Kluyveromyces lactis: one gene and its partner. The protein of the gene in region 1 binds, or shares a complex with, the protein of each later gene. Links are inferred from orthologs where the notes say so. Each region holds a gene or a part of one and is shown in the gene's direction. Other genes may lie near its edges.

Evidence for each region. Proteins that work in one complex are often made in the same cells at the same time.
Region 2: the proteins of SUP35 (region 1) and SUP45 are in contact, whole or in part, in a crystal structure (PDB 3E20), measured with the Schizosaccharomyces pombe proteins. The link is inferred for Kluyveromyces lactis from reciprocal best matches to the Schizosaccharomyces pombe genes sup35 and erf1. Residues at the interface, in NP_588225.1 of Schizosaccharomyces pombe: Ser571, Ile572, Leu573, Thr574, Thr575, Gly576, Tyr577, Ser578, Met611, Phe612, Asp647; in NP_594680.1 of Schizosaccharomyces pombe: Gln285, Phe288, Ile291, Ser292, Tyr298, Phe300, Gln396, Met399, Gln400, Lys403, Gly404, Phe405.

What each region holds. Positions count from the first base shown.
Region 1 is NC_006040.1:1,482,810-1,492,252, reverse strand, and holds SUP35 (translation termination factor GTPase eRF3), read left to right. Parts: upstream 1-3,195; coding exon 3,196-5,298; downstream 5,299-9,443. Other genes in the region: heat shock protein HSP42, read left to right, coding at 1,586-2,773; ARG82 (inositol polyphosphate multikinase), read right to left, coding at 5,350-6,378; KLLA0_D17380g (uncharacterized protein), read right to left, coding at 6,763-8,061; Arf family guanine nucleotide exchange factor SEC7, read left to right, coding at 9,184-9,443. UniProt on the Schizosaccharomyces pombe protein: GTPase component of the eRF1-eRF3-GTP ternary complex, a ternary complex that mediates translation termination in response to the termination codons.
Region 2 is NC_006039.1:961,373-967,441, forward strand, and holds SUP45 (translation termination factor eRF1), read left to right. Parts: upstream 1-4,151; coding exon 4,152-5,468; downstream 5,469-6,069. Other genes in the region: PHM7 (Phm7p), read left to right, coding at 1-988; ATG19 (Atg19p), read left to right, coding at 1,616-3,499; MAK5 (ATP-dependent RNA helicase), read right to left, coding at 5,695-6,069. UniProt on the Schizosaccharomyces pombe protein: Component of the eRF1-eRF3-GTP ternary complex, a ternary complex that mediates translation termination in response to the termination codons. The eRF1-eRF3-GTP complex binds to a stop codon in the ribosomal A-site.

The sequences.
Region 1 (9,443 bases):
GGTCTGTTGGAATGCAGCTATATTAAGTGGCAACAAGATGGCTATCTGGGTTGTTTCATCTCTTTCTTATTGTTCTTAGAGGAGTTATATGTAGATTATTGTTATGTTTAGGAGAATGACTTACTACACACACTCCATCTTCTCAAATGAGAAGATGAGAAAAAAAGTAGGTCGTACCCGGATTCGAACCGGGGTTGTTCGGATCAAAACCGAAAGTGATAACCACTACACTATACAACCAAATAATAAAAGTTCTTGTGATATGCTTTGGATGATAGTTGATTGATTAATCGCCTGATGAGGGATCGTTGATATCAAACAATACAACGATTATAATATAATAATCTATTTAGCTAGATCGTTGAGTATATGCGTCCTTGCTTCTTCTTTCTCTTGTTGCATCCAACCTCCCCAAGAGGTCGCAACATAGCTCAGCCTTTTATACTCGACTTATATACTCGCATGGTCGTCAGACTTCGTCATGGCAACTCATTGCCTCCATGCCCTTGTAGGTCCTGTGCAGCTACTGTCCTCCACGCGCACTCAAGACCATCACGTGGCCGTCTATGATCCATCTAGGCCATCCCCTCTGGATACCACAGGATCCATATGCACAGTCACTGACGTCTTGGAACTCTGTCGTGTGCTGGCTAGCTCACATGACCTCTCGTCTGGCTTGTCTTCAGTCTATCTTACGACAAAATGTACGATGAACTGAAAGACCCATATTGAACTGCGAAAGTCTTCCCGCCGATCACATAGCAAATTAGAATGTGAACGCGAAATACTTAGTTTTGAAAACCATACGTTAAGCTCCAAAAAACCTACGTTACGGCGACATAACTCTCTTGCGTGACTGTTAAGGACAAAACTTTATTCATTTGTCCATGAACAAAAGCTTCTCATTGTTTTGCTTCGGTACCTCACGAATTATTCCAGAAACTCCAACTAAAATGTGTACGTGCATCGGAAATTGGGAATATTAAGGAACATATCCTGCATTATATCTCATTTCCTACATAAATTTATGCTCAATGAAATTTGTATGTGCTGATGGACGAAAAGATAGGTTGGAAATTGACGTTACAAACTCCGAGAAAAAACATGAACCTATACATAAATAAGAAGCATCCTTTTGACAATAGTACTGAGACCAAAAGATGCGCTATATTGGTTATCGTAGGAATCCTTCAAGCCTCAAAGCCATTCGTTGCTGGTCGCCACTCTTACGGCTATATGTCAGCCTTGTTTTTTGTCTCCTCCAACTTTATTTCTATGAACTTCCCTAACGTTCCACATATTACTAGACTTTTCGATCTTCTACTGGTACTGAAGGAAAAAAAAGGCTAAATTCACGCATTATTAAGGGAGAAAAAAGGTATAAAAGGTTTAATTCTTCGGTGGCAATCCCTAGATTTGCCATTGCCAATTTGATGTAATTTGTGATTGTCTGGTATATTGCTACCTATAGGTTCAAATTGATCCTAGTAACAGCAAAAACAGCTTTCTAGCGGTTTATTCAAAGGAAGGACGGATATAGCCTTTGAGTGCAATTATACATATTACCATATCAACCCTTTCCATTATGAGTTTTTATCAACCATCTTTGTCCCTTTACGACGTTCTAGATGCATTAACTAACAAGGCTGGCGCCAGAGGTGATTATGAAGATAATATCTACGGTGGAAGACAACCTCAAAGAAGAGCTGCTAATCAAGGGTATGACAGATACGACCCTTTTGCCGCTAGAAGACAGGGCTACGTTCCTGGCAGCTATTACTATTCAGTTCCAAACGCATCCTACTACCAGCCAGTTTATTACACAAATGAAGATGCTCAACCTCAGAGAAGACCCACGCATTACCATCCACACCGTACTGTTCGCAGGACCGGTGCTCCAACAACAGCTTCTAGAAGGGCTGTTGGACCAACATCTGGTGATGATGTAGTTGGGGCTCTTTTGAGTGCTTTGGCCGGTGGTAATTCCGACATTTTCAGAGGGGATGCTGATGAAGAAAGTCAGAGACAAGCAACTGATGATGAACAAGAAAACGATGAACAGGAGCAAGCCGCTGCTCTTGCGGCAGCCGAAGAAGCTCTTGCAAATCAATATTCCGAGGAAGAAAAAGAACGTAATGATCAGCAAATAGACGAGGAAACAGCAGAGCAAGGAGAAGACGCTTCTGACGAGTACAACGAAGATTATAACATGCACAATAATGAGGAACAACAAAAGTTGAATAAGACTACTTCCTCCGTTGACAGCGAAAAGGACGTAAACCAAAAGGATAAACTAGCTTACGAGCCCAGCGGTTTCAGATCTCCGGTTCCTGCACCTTTGCAAGTTTCAAACCCAGAATTGAGACTTGATCTACCATTTTCTCCAGAAGTTAACGTTTATGATACTCCCGAACAGTACGTTGTTGTATTGGCATTACCTGGTGCGAACTCGAAGGAGTTTAAAATTGATTTCCATCCTTCATCGCACGAGTTACTGATCAAAGGTGCTGTCGACAACAAGATCGGGATTGATAAAAAGTACGTGAAGATCTCAGAATTGAAATACGGTGATTTTGAAAGATCTGTCAAGTTCCCCGTTTTACCGAGAATTAAAGATGAAGAGATTAAAGCATCGTACTTTAACGGATTGCTTCAAATCAAAGTCCCAAAAATTCCACAAGATGCTAATAAACCACAACCAAAGAAAAGAATTATAATAGAAGATGTACCAGATGAAGAACTTGTGTTTGAGACTGCTCCTCGCAATTTATGAAATCATCCCTGGCTTCACATTGGAAAACTGGTTCAGCCAAACATTTATATGAACAATTGTTATGAATTAAAATAAGATCTCATGTTTAGTAATCGCTTATGTATAATATTAATATTACACGAATACCAGCACCCTCATTTTATACAGTTACATAGAGGAAGAACGGAACGGTTGCACCAGGTTATTGATGCCATATTACGTATTGGGCGCTACAATGGTGTTAGTCTATTTAGGAATATATGCAGTCGTATAAAATTACATCATCGCTAATTGCAAAAAATTTTAAACAGCTTGATAGAGAAGATCGAAAAGTGTAAGAAAGCGTTACTGATGATCATCATGATCCTCCCATCAGCGAATTGCCCTCTATTTGCAAGCTTAAATTGGAACAAGGTACCGGTCTATAGCATCTACTAGTAGACATGTCAGACCAACAAAATCAAGACCAAGGGCAAGGCCAAGGTTACAATCAGTATAACCAATATGGCCAGTACAACCAGTACTACAACCAACAGGGCTATCAAGGCTACAACGGCCAACAAGGTGCTCCTCAAGGCTACCAAGCATATCAAGCTTATGGACAGCAGCCTCAAGGAGCCTACCAGGGCTACAACCCTCAACAAGCTCAAGGCTACCAACCTTACCAGGGCTACAATGCTCAGCAACAAGGTTACAACGCTCAGCAAGGCGGTCACAACAATAACTACAATAAAAATTATAATAATAAAAACAGTTACAATAACTATAATAAGCAGGGTTATCAAGGTGCTCAAGGATATAATGCACAACAGCCAACCGGTTACGCTGCTCCAGCACAGTCTTCATCCCAGGGTATGACTTTGAAAGATTTCCAAAACCAACAAGGCAGTACTAATGCAGCCAAGCCAAAGCCTAAGTTAAAGTTGGCCTCTAGCTCTGGTATTAAGTTAGTAGGTGCCAAGAAACCTGTAGCACCCAAAACTGAGAAAACTGATGAATCCAAGGAAGCAACTAAAACTACCGACGACAACGAAGAAGCACAATCTGAATTGCCCAAAATTGATGATTTGAAAATCTCAGAGGCTGAAAAACCAAAAACTAAGGAGAATACCCCATCTGCTGATGATACTTCCTCAGAGAAGACTACCAGCGCTAAGGCAGACACATCTACAGGAGGAGCGAACTCCGTGGATGCTCTAATCAAGGAACAAGAAGATGAGGTTGACGAAGAAGTCGTTAAAGATATGTTTGGTGGTAAGGATCATGTTTCCATCATTTTCATGGGTCACGTCGATGCTGGTAAGTCAACAATGGGTGGTAACTTGTTATATCTGACTGGTTCTGTGGATAAAAGAACCGTTGAGAAATATGAGAGAGAGGCTAAAGAGGCTGGTAGACAAGGTTGGTATTTATCATGGGTGATGGATACCAACAAAGAAGAAAGAAACGACGGTAAAACCATTGAAGTGGGTAGAGCGTACTTTGAAACTGAAAAGAGACGTTACACTATTTTGGATGCTCCCGGTCACAAAATGTATGTTTCTGAAATGATTGGTGGTGCATCTCAAGCCGATATTGGTATTTTGGTTATTTCTGCTAGAAAGGGTGAATATGAAACTGGTTTCGAAAAGGGTGGTCAAACTCGTGAGCACGCTTTATTAGCCAAGACACAAGGTGTCAACAAAATGATTGTAGTTATCAACAAGATGGATGATCCAACTGTGGGATGGGATAAGGAAAGATATGATCACTGTGTTGGTAACTTGACAAACTTTTTGAAGGCTGTGGGTTACAATGTTAAGGAGGACGTCATTTTCATGCCAGTGTCTGGTTACACAGGTGCAGGTTTGAAGGAACGTGTCGATCCTAAGGACTGTCCATGGTATACTGGTCCATCTTTATTAGAATATCTTGACAATATGAAGACTACTGATCGTCATATCAATGCTCCATTCATGCTTCCAATTGCTTCTAAGATGAAGGACATGGGTACTGTTGTGGAAGGTAAAATCGAATCTGGACACATTAGAAAGGGTAACCAAACTTTACTAATGCCTAACAGGACCTCTGTTGAAATTCTGACCATTTATAACGAAACTGAAAGCGAAGTTGACATGGCTGTTTGTGGTGAGCAGGTTAGATTAAGAATTAAAGGTGTCGAAGAAGAAGAAATTTCTGCTGGTTTCGTTCTAACCTCTCCAAAAAACCCAGTTAAGAATGTAACGAGATTTGTGGCTCAAATTGCTATTGTCGAATTGAAATCGATCATGTCTGCTGGTTTCTCGTGCGTTATGCATATTCATACAGCTATCGAAGAAGTCACCGTCACAAGATTGCTTCACAAGCTTGAGAAGGGGTCAAACAGAAAATCAAAGAAGCCTCCAGCATTTGCTAAAAAGGGTATGAAGATCATTGCCGTTATCGAGACTAATGAACCGGTATGTGTTGAAACATACGATGATTACCCACAATTGGGTAGATTCACTTTAAGAGATCAAGGTACCACCATTGCTATCGGTAAGATTGTGAAAATCCTTGAAAATTGATCTCGGTTTTTATGAATCCATATCACAATGCATATTTACTAGGTGTCTAGTCTAGATTGTATATTTAGTTTTTAATCTTTCAAAAATGTCTATAAGACTTTCAACCCCGTCAAGTACATTGTCATCTATTCCTAATCCTGGGGTAAATTTGGTATGTGCAAAATCTATTATCGACATGCGACTCAATTCTGTCTTTCCTGATATGCTCTCCTTTGACTGTCCATCTTTAATGGACCCTTCCTCATCCGAATCATATGATACATGGGACGGTATTAATTCTTGTTCCTGAGAGAAGTTGATCCACCGAGTAGTATCGCATTCATATATGAATAGAAGGCTACTTGATATCATGCGAACCTCTTCATTCAATAGCGTATTATAGAAAAGCTGAAGCCTTTTTGAAAACATGTGAATCAAATCATTACGATTTTGGAGTGAAAGATTATTATCGCCAAAGTACAAATCAAATGCGTCCGTTACATTCGAAGCTGTCAACTCACGACCGTAATATTTATTGACAAAAATATACCCATCATCTTCCGGTTCATAATACTTCGAGTGTAGTTCTTGGACATTTGTGTTTTTTAAGATATTCATACCACATATTCTAAACCCTAAAGTCCCAGAAGTTGATGTCTTACTTACTTCATCTAATCTTATTCTTTTCTCTTCACTTGCTGCATCATCCCACAGAACATGTCCTAACTTGATATCCAATACGTTTGGTCGTACATATCCGTGCAATAGATTTTCCATAACTAAGTAAACATTTCCATCGGTTTGTGACTTACTAGTTAGACTTGTGGGGGAACACGCGTTCAGTCTCTCTATTACTCTTTCTTGGTCAAAGTCTTTGTTCTGTTCTTTATTCTCTTGCAATATACCTAAGAATGTAGGTGTCCAGTCCTGTAATGGAATGTCATCCGTGTTGTCTATTGCATGTCTGGTGGCCAAGTGTTCATAAAACTTTATTTCTTGTTTCGTGGAAGGTTTGAACAGAAGCATCTCATTGGGATCCGTTAATGGTCCTTCATGGCCAGCAGCTTGACGTTTTAGTTTCTTAAAGTCTTTGATGTTCATGCTGTATATTCAAAACGCCATCTATAGGTGATTCCTCGTCCTCATGAGCTCAATTCTTTCTTTACGCAGTTGATGTAGCATCATCTGGCTTGCTCGAACGGTGCTCAGTTGTCTTTTTTATTTTTATAAATACATTCTTCTGTCAGTAGATGTTATCAAAAAAGGTATTCATAGAATTGCGGCATTCATATCATTCCAGAATGATATGCTTGCCAATAGAAAACATACAAAATCTATACATATATTAACTGGCTTCAAAATAGTAACAAAATATTGCATGTGGTATTCATCCACTTATTTATCATTGGGAGGTCAAAGTCTAGTTCCGTTTCGGTATTTTTTTTAAGTTAAGTAACATCCGGAGAACATGAGCTAACGAAAATTTCACACATCGTTCCATAATCTCCCATGGACTGATTGTAATTCCTCTTTAGTTGGTGCTTTTTCTGATGAGAAATAACCTGAGTTGATTTTAGCATCGATTTCAACTCTGGAATCTGGAGGAATCATTTCATCTGGAATCGGAATTCTTTCGACGATTTCAATTCCCTGATCAACGATTGCATCATATTTCATGTTTGACATGGACAACATCTTATCGATCTTGGAAATACCTAACCATTTAAGGACGTCTGGCATTAATTGTTGAAATCTCATATCCCTCACACCAGCGATACATTCTGTTCTGTGGAAATACTCGTCAGCGGTATCACCGCCTCTCTTACGAGCATTGTATACTAAATATTTGGTAACTTCACCAAGTGCACGCCCTTCTTTACGGAAGTAAATAACAAGACCAGTTCCTCCATTCTGGGCCTCCTTTACTGCTTCAATAATACCAAACATCAAGTATGGACGGCAAGTACAAATATCAGAACCGAAGACGTCGGAACCGTTACATTCATCGTGAACTCTCAAAGCGATTTTCTTTTCTGGATTGGAAATGTTTTGCGGATTACCGAAAATATACACTGTCAATCCACCAATTGGAGGCATGTAAGTTTTGATATCGGGTCTAGTGATCAATTCTGGGTACATACCATTTGTATCCTCAAATAAACATTTTCTTAACTCTTCTTCAGTGATTCCAAATCTTTCAGCGACCCCTGGTAAATACCAAACAGGTTCAACGGCAATCTTCGAAACACTTAGGTCACCGTTAGAGTTGACAATGATATTACCGTCGATTTTCAATTCGCCTTTATCAACGGCCTCTTTCAACTCAAGCAATTGCATGGTTGCCTTGGTGATGGCAATAGTTGGTCTGATATCCACGTTTGCAGACTTAGCAACATCATCAAACAAATAAGGTGTTAAGTGACCAAAAGGATCCATCGATACAATATCACGGTTGTTAAACCATGATGGCTGTTCTGGGATTGTAAACACAGGTTGCGCGTTGGTATAGTCTGGAATATGGTCGCGTTTTAACTGGTTTGAACCAATGGCCAAAGCATTATAGATGCAGTATGGACCAGCATGAGCACCGATGCAATTGTGTTTAGAGATACCACTTTTATTTCTTGATGGAACCACAGGACCCCTTTCTTGACAATCAGCAGCACCCCAGTTCAATGGGATAGGAGAGGAATCTTCTGGGTAGGTGGTTAAAAGGACATCATTAACTGGTGTCGCTTTGATGTGTTGTTCTACTTCCTTACGGGTAACGGCGATTGGACTCATCTTTAGTTGATAATTTCACAATATCCTTAATGATTGATACTTTTTGATTTAATCTTGATACTTATAGATGTGTTTACTATATGCATTACTTAATTGAACCTTATCCAAACTAAGTTCTTCTTCTTCGACAAACGCTCTTCTTTTATAGATTTTGAAGGATAATATATCCTGTAATAATTTACACAAAGATAACTAGGCTCCCATGCACTCGAAACTATACAAATCGCTCGAGCTTTCCGTTTTCTATCTCCCGTACCTCTTTTTGTTATCCTAATCACACGCTATCTACGTTTTTGTTTCACTAACTGACGCATGTCAATTTTCCTCCGACGGATTTCCTTCGGAGGAAAATGGTACAGCATATTATGTCAGCACCGCCAGTATTAAACAGGGAAAACAACGACTAAATATCTCCTATGGAGATATGTATACATACATATGGGTAGATAGATGCTTTACACATGAAGGTGTTAGTTAACCGCACTAATTGACATACATGCAATCTGTTTACTTGTTTTTAGGTTGTTATTCTCAATCACTAAGGTCGCCAACGGAGATTTGAGGTCCCAAACTCAAAGTAGAGATATGAAAAGTAAATTCAGATTGTAAGTTTGGAAATTATTACAAATGCTCCAGAATATACCAAATTTGGCGTCCCTTTGTGGGCTATGAAGTGCTATAAAAGAGGTTACTCCAATAGATAATTCTCATCATAGATGATTCTAATCACGTGATCAACAAATCACGTGCTCGACACAGCAGAAGAGGCTTATAAAATTATACAATGTAGAACTAAACTTAAGTTTCCAGATCCATTTCCTGTAGCAAGTATCTACGGTTTATATCACTGCCTCTTGGCTGAACATTCTGGTAACATCATTCAGCTGCTTTACTTAATCACTTATACTTCAGAAAGACTTCAGAGAGCAGATCTTCAAGCCAATTCTCCTATTATAGGGGAAAAACGGAGCCAGCCATCCACCTTAAAAGGAAAGAAAAAAAATATCTGAAATTAAATGAGATTCAGAAAGAAGTATACATAATATCGTATTTGGTGGAACGATTACGGAGGTGATTATATACACACTAAGGTGCAGTGCTGTCGAAGAAATATTGCCAAACATGTCAGAAGAACCTGTGGACCGCACGAACCCAGCAATTGCTGAGGAACGTGATATACAAGCCCTAGATTCGACCACGACTGTTGATATCAATGTGAATTCGGTAACCGACGCTGATGCGAACGTGGAGAACAACACCCCTGATGTGCCTGATGTTGATGTGACGCCATCTCCATCAGCAAATAAAACTGTAAATAGTAACACCGAGGGAGCGGCCCATGCTAGAAATGCGTCAATTGTATCTATGAATAACGCGAACAT
Region 2 (6,069 bases), on another chromosome or scaffold:
TAGGAACTATCCAAGAGCATTATTCCAAGTATTTGTTGGATTGTACTTAGCTGAAATATGTCTAATTGGTCTTTTCATCATGGCCAAGACATGGGGTCCTTTGGTTTTGGAAGCAGTCTTCTTGGCTGCTACTGCTCTTGCCCATATTTACTTCAAGAGAAGATTTATTCCATTGTTTGATGCAGTTCCATTGAGCGCAATCAGATACGCTAGAGGTGAAGAAGGTTCTTATTACCCAGCCAAGGATCAAGGTTTGAACGAAATTCAAGTCGAAGGTAAGAAACTTGCAGAAAACATTCTATCTGAAGATAGAAATGGGGTCTTCCAAGAAACTACAAAACAAGATTTGCAGAGAGTTAACATGCTGCCTGATGAGTATGAAGATTCTCTTGAAAATGATTCAAAGAGCAATAATGGTAACGGAACTATTTCGGGCAGCTCGAAACAGAATCCAAGCACCTTTGTCAACGATTCAGAACAATTCCATAAGACAAAAGTACCTCCACAAATTCCACCACCAGAAGTTCACCAGGAAGAAAGAGACCCCAACATCATTGTCAACCGCGCGGATGCTGGGCAAGTTATCTCCGATGTTAAGGGTTACCCAATAAATGCACCAGAAGAGCAACTCGGTTTACCATCCGATCTGATCAGACCAAAGAGTATCGTGGCCCGTTGCAAGCTATTCTTCCAACCTCAGAAGTACTACGATTTCGCTATTGTAAGGCAAACTCTACCTTATGTCTTCAATGACGTCATTAGATACGATTTGGAGTACTTGGAAACCGCCTTCACCGAGCCTTGTGTTAGAGAGAAGGAACCAATTATATGGTGTGCAAGAGATCCTATGGGATTGTCCCATCAGCAAATATCCATTGCATCTGCCAGTGGTGTGGATGTTAGAGATGATTTCGCTGGTTATGACGAGACGGGTAAGACAACATACTCTAATAGTCCTCCAGACTACGAAATGATTGCCAAAAAGTGAAATTGCCATAAGTTAAAATAATGGGTAAAAAAAGCTGGATTATTCCGCATCACGAAATAATACGGTATTGAATGTCTACTTGTATTTCTTTACTTCTACTCTCTACTTTCTTCTCCTTTTCCATCTTTAATATAATAGTTTTTTATAGTTCAATTTAATACTTTAATAATCTCTACACACTCTTAACAAGATCCAAAGTAATGCATTAAGTTGGCAGTTACCGTTTCAAGTTTCAGAGGTTCGAAAAGCATTAATACTTTGACTGGAAACCCCTCTTGACGAGGCACTGCTGCCAGTGTCAGTTTATAGTTCTGCTTTACCATAGCAATTAAGAACAGTTTATTTTTTTGTCTTCAAACCGAGGAATTCCTGGAATTTTCCTAATCTCAAGGAGATAAAAAAGATAAATTATGTATTTCCCCTGATCTAGAAATATATATAAAGAAATAAAAGGGGAGGCAAAGGGGGTTTTTGACTACTTCTACTCAGTATCACATTTAAAGAAGACTATATAACGGTCGGTAACAGATTATTCAAGTTATATTTGCCACTGTAGAGTTAGTTTTACAATACACTTAATCACTGACTTTTCAAAGATCCGAACAACACCTTTTTTACTCAACAATAATGTCCTATGATAGTTACTATGGTCATCAGGTGGATATCCATTTCACAGGTCCAAAGGGAATATCCTCTCGTCAAGTAATTCAAGCCAGATCAAGCCCTGATATGGTGGCTTTGAGAAAAATAGGCCTTAGCTTGTTTCAATCAACGAATATTTTTGATTCATATGCGGTAACAGCCAAAGTAAATGAAACGGCTTCTGAAAGAACTCCGATACGTAATTACAAAGACCTTGAAAGCATTTGGGATGATGTTCTAACAGTGGGAACTTTGTACATCGATGTGGCTGAAAAAAATCACTATGAACCTCATGACGCTGGAAGCATCACAGATGCGATCACAGATGGAAATGATACTAAAATGTCCATCCCATCATCTCAATGGGATAAACTAATCAGATCGTTAGAAAAACTCGAATTATCTATTAGAGGCAATAATGTTAACAGTTCAACTTCTGAGGATACTGTTCATGAGGGAATAGTCTGCGATGGGTGCCAAGGTCCGGCTGATGGAATCCGTGTTGTCAATACAAAAACCGCAGATCAAAATGGGTTCATCAAGGGGCCCAGATTTTGTTGCTTATACTGTCACGATTATGATTTATGCAGCGAATGCGAAAAGAAGGGATTCACTTCGGGTACTCACAAATCCTACCATAACTTCGTTAAGGTTGTCACACCCGATGCTAAATTGAAATCGTTTACTTCGGACTACTTGAAGAGCACACATCAGCAAGTTACGAGACCATCCAGGTACAATCAAGTGCCTGCTCCATCTAGGTACAACCAAGTTCCTGCTCCATCTAGGTATAATCAGGCTCCTGCTCCATCAAGGTATTACCAAGTCCCTGCAACATCCAGGTACAGTCAGTTTCCTGCTCCACCTAGATATAATCCAGAACCATTGCCATCTGAAATTAAGGTTGAAGGCTTTTACGGAAAAGACAAAGCATCACCTAGAAACTCTTCTCCTCGCGTACCAGCTGCTAATGTGCAGCATGATTTTAACGATGTTATCATTGAAGTTGGACAACAGAACAAGGCAATGTTTGATTTCTTTGCTGAAATCAAAACAGAGAGTGAATTGGAGAAATTAATGCAAGATGCCATCAGCTGGAGAATTGCAAAGCAGTGGTACGGAGAAGACATCTATGAGAAATTAGAGAGGTATCAGAATATGATGCAAGAAAACGCTCAGAAGGAGCGAGAGAATGAGTCTTCCGATGAGGCAACTATGAATACTCAAGGGTCATCAAATCCTTCATTAAGGGTAGAGATGTTCCAAAAAGGTCATTTGTTAACATTTAAACTTTTTAATGATGGTGACGAAACAATTCCAAATGGATTAAAATTAGTGTTCCAGTGCGAACAGAAAGGCAGAGTGGCAACCCCGATTAAATGCAATTTACAAGTTGGTCCAGACGAATTACAGCCAGGTAACTACAAAATTTTGAACTTTAACTACCGTGGCACATTGGAAGAATTTAGCTTTGAGCAACCATGCAAGATTGATCTCATTGATGTCAGAGAACAAGTGGTATATACCACAGAACAAAGCACGGTACCAGGATCATCGGTATTCCATTTAAAACCTCCAGTCTGTAAGATGCTCCCAATGGGTGATCGCAGAAATATACCATGCAACGAAGATGAAGACCCTGATGTTCAATACACATTAACTAGCCCTTCACAATCTGATACTGATGTTATATCTTCTTCAGTCACGGATCAAGAAGAAGAGGAGGAGGAAGAAGAAGAAGAGGAAGAAGAAGAGGAAGAAGAAGAAAATACAGCGCAGGCAGACAATGAAAACAATGATCTCGTCTACGTTGAGTCGCTCTCTGAAGAGTACGATTTACTAAGTGATTCGGACTTTGATCATAACTGATCAATTGCATGATCACATGAAAGACAAATATTCTCTGGCCCAATGCTGCTAGTAGCATGTCATGTCATCCTGGTTGACCCCCCCTACTCCATCCTCTTTTTTATTATATTTTACTTTGTTTTATCTTTTCTTTGTTAAGGTGTTTTCACCTGTTGTGTTTGACAACTGCACTGGACCAGATCACATCATATTCTAGCGACGACGTTCGTGCAGTTTATTCAACTTACTGTTTTACGAGATAAGATGGTTTTTCTACTACTATTTACGATTAAGTATTTCCTTCTACATACAAACTCTTAATGGTTATCTCTTTAAAGTCAAGACCGTATGCGGCGATGCAGGGTAACGGCATCCTCTTTCTTTTCAAGAATTCTGAAAATTTTTGAAATTTGGTATTGCATCGACGAGAGTGCAGTTACTTTTGAAAGAGAAAAATATGTAGAACTTATACGTTACAAATTACTAGTAAATATGGTCTAAGAGAAAGAGAGATGGGATTCTAATTTATATGTACAAGTTTGCTTTTGCTTCATTTGTACATTAGTTCCATCAACGATATTCATTAGGTTTAGTATTTCGATCTTTATTTGATTTAGAATCCGGTAAGAAGATATAACTAATAGCTTAATCCTATAGTACAGCAATTGAAACAATGGAGACTGATGCTGAGAAGAATATTGAGATCTGGAAGGTCAAGAAATTGATCAAGTCTCTAGAGAAGGCTAGGGGTAATGGTACCTCTATGATTTCGCTTGTCATTCCACCAAAGGGTCAAATTTCTATGATTCAAAAGATGTTGACTGATGAATATGGTACTGCTTCCAATATTAAATCGAGAGTCAACCGTTTGTCAGTGCTCTCTGCTATCACATCCACACAACAAAAGCTAAAATTATACACTAAGATCCCACCTAATGGTTTGGTGCTATATTGTGGTGATATGATAACTGAAGAAGGTAAAGAAAAGAAGGTTACATTTGACATTGAACCTTATAAACCAATCAACACCTCTTTGTACTTATGTGACAATAAGTTCCACACAGAGGTTCTTTCTGAATTGCTAGAAGCAGATGATAAATTCGGTTTCATCGTGATGGATGGTCAAGGTGCATTGTTCGGTCTTTTGACTGGTAACACAAGAACAGTTTTGCATAAATTCACTGTTGATTTACCAAAGAAGCATGGTAGAGGTGGTCAATCCGCTGTTCGTTTTGCTCGTTTAAGAGAAGAAAAGAGACATAACTATGTCAGAAAAGTGGCAGAAGTTGCTGTGCAAAATTTTATTACGAACGATAAGGTGAACGTTAAAGGTTTAATCTTGGCTGGTTCTGCAGATTTCAAAACAGATTTGGCCAAATCTGAATTGTTCGATCAAAGATTGCAAGCTAAGATCGTCAAGATCGTTGATATCTCATACGGTGGTGAAAACGGTTTCAACCAAGCTATCGAACTATCTGCAGAAGCCTTAGCCAATGTTAAATTCATTCAAGAAAAGAAATTGATTACCGAATATTTCGATCAAATCTCTCAAGATACTGGTAAATACTGCTACGGTATCGAAGATACTCTAAAGGCTTTGGATTTGGGTGCTGTTGAAATTTTGATTGTTTTTGAAAATCTAGAAACCATCAGATATGTATACAGGGACTCTGAAGATAAAGAAGTACTAAAATTCGTCGAACCAGAGGAACAAGACAAATCATACTCTCTTGATAAAACTACCGGAGCAGAAATGGACTTGGTCTCTGAACAACCATTAATTGAATGGCTTGCGGAAAATTACAAAAACTACGGTGCCAATCTAGAATTCATTACCGATAAATCCTCTGAAGGTGCTCAATTCGTTACTGGTTTCGGTGGTATTGGTGCGCTACTTCGTTATAAAGTCAACTTCGAACAATTGATGGAAGATTCAGATGATGAATATTATGATGAAAATGAAGATGATGATGACTACGATTTCATTTAAACCTCTTCAGTCAAGCGATGTATAAATAGTGTTTATAAATATATATCTTTCTTTTCATTCTTTTCTTTATCATAAGTATCACCAAGATATATTTGATTAAGTTGTATTTGCAAGACATTACATATTTTTCATGCAATTCAAACATTCTTCACACTCCGACAACGACTGTTGTATTGGGAATATATATGTTTTCCTATTTTTATTTCTCTATAGCAGATAAAGGGCTTCATTTATGCTTCTTGCCCTTGAGTGTTTGCAATGCATCCACTTTATCATGTCCAATAATGGAATTGTGACCTTTATGTTTGACTAAAGTGTCAGCGAGATTGGTCAGACCTCCTGTTAGATAGCTTTTTCTTAAATCTTTTCTTAGTGGCATTTTTAATAACTCGTTGAGCTGGTATTTTAGAGCCTTATTTTCATTCTTTTCCAACTGTTTATTCAACTTTTTGGTTTTGTTTCTAGCTAAAAATTGGTCCTTTTCCTCTTCTTCTGAATCTAATTCAATATCCAATTCTTCAGCAGCCTTTTTTAACCAATTATCATCCTTATGTAGTGATTTCGTTGCTATCTCATCATCAGCAAGTTCGCTCGCTATCTT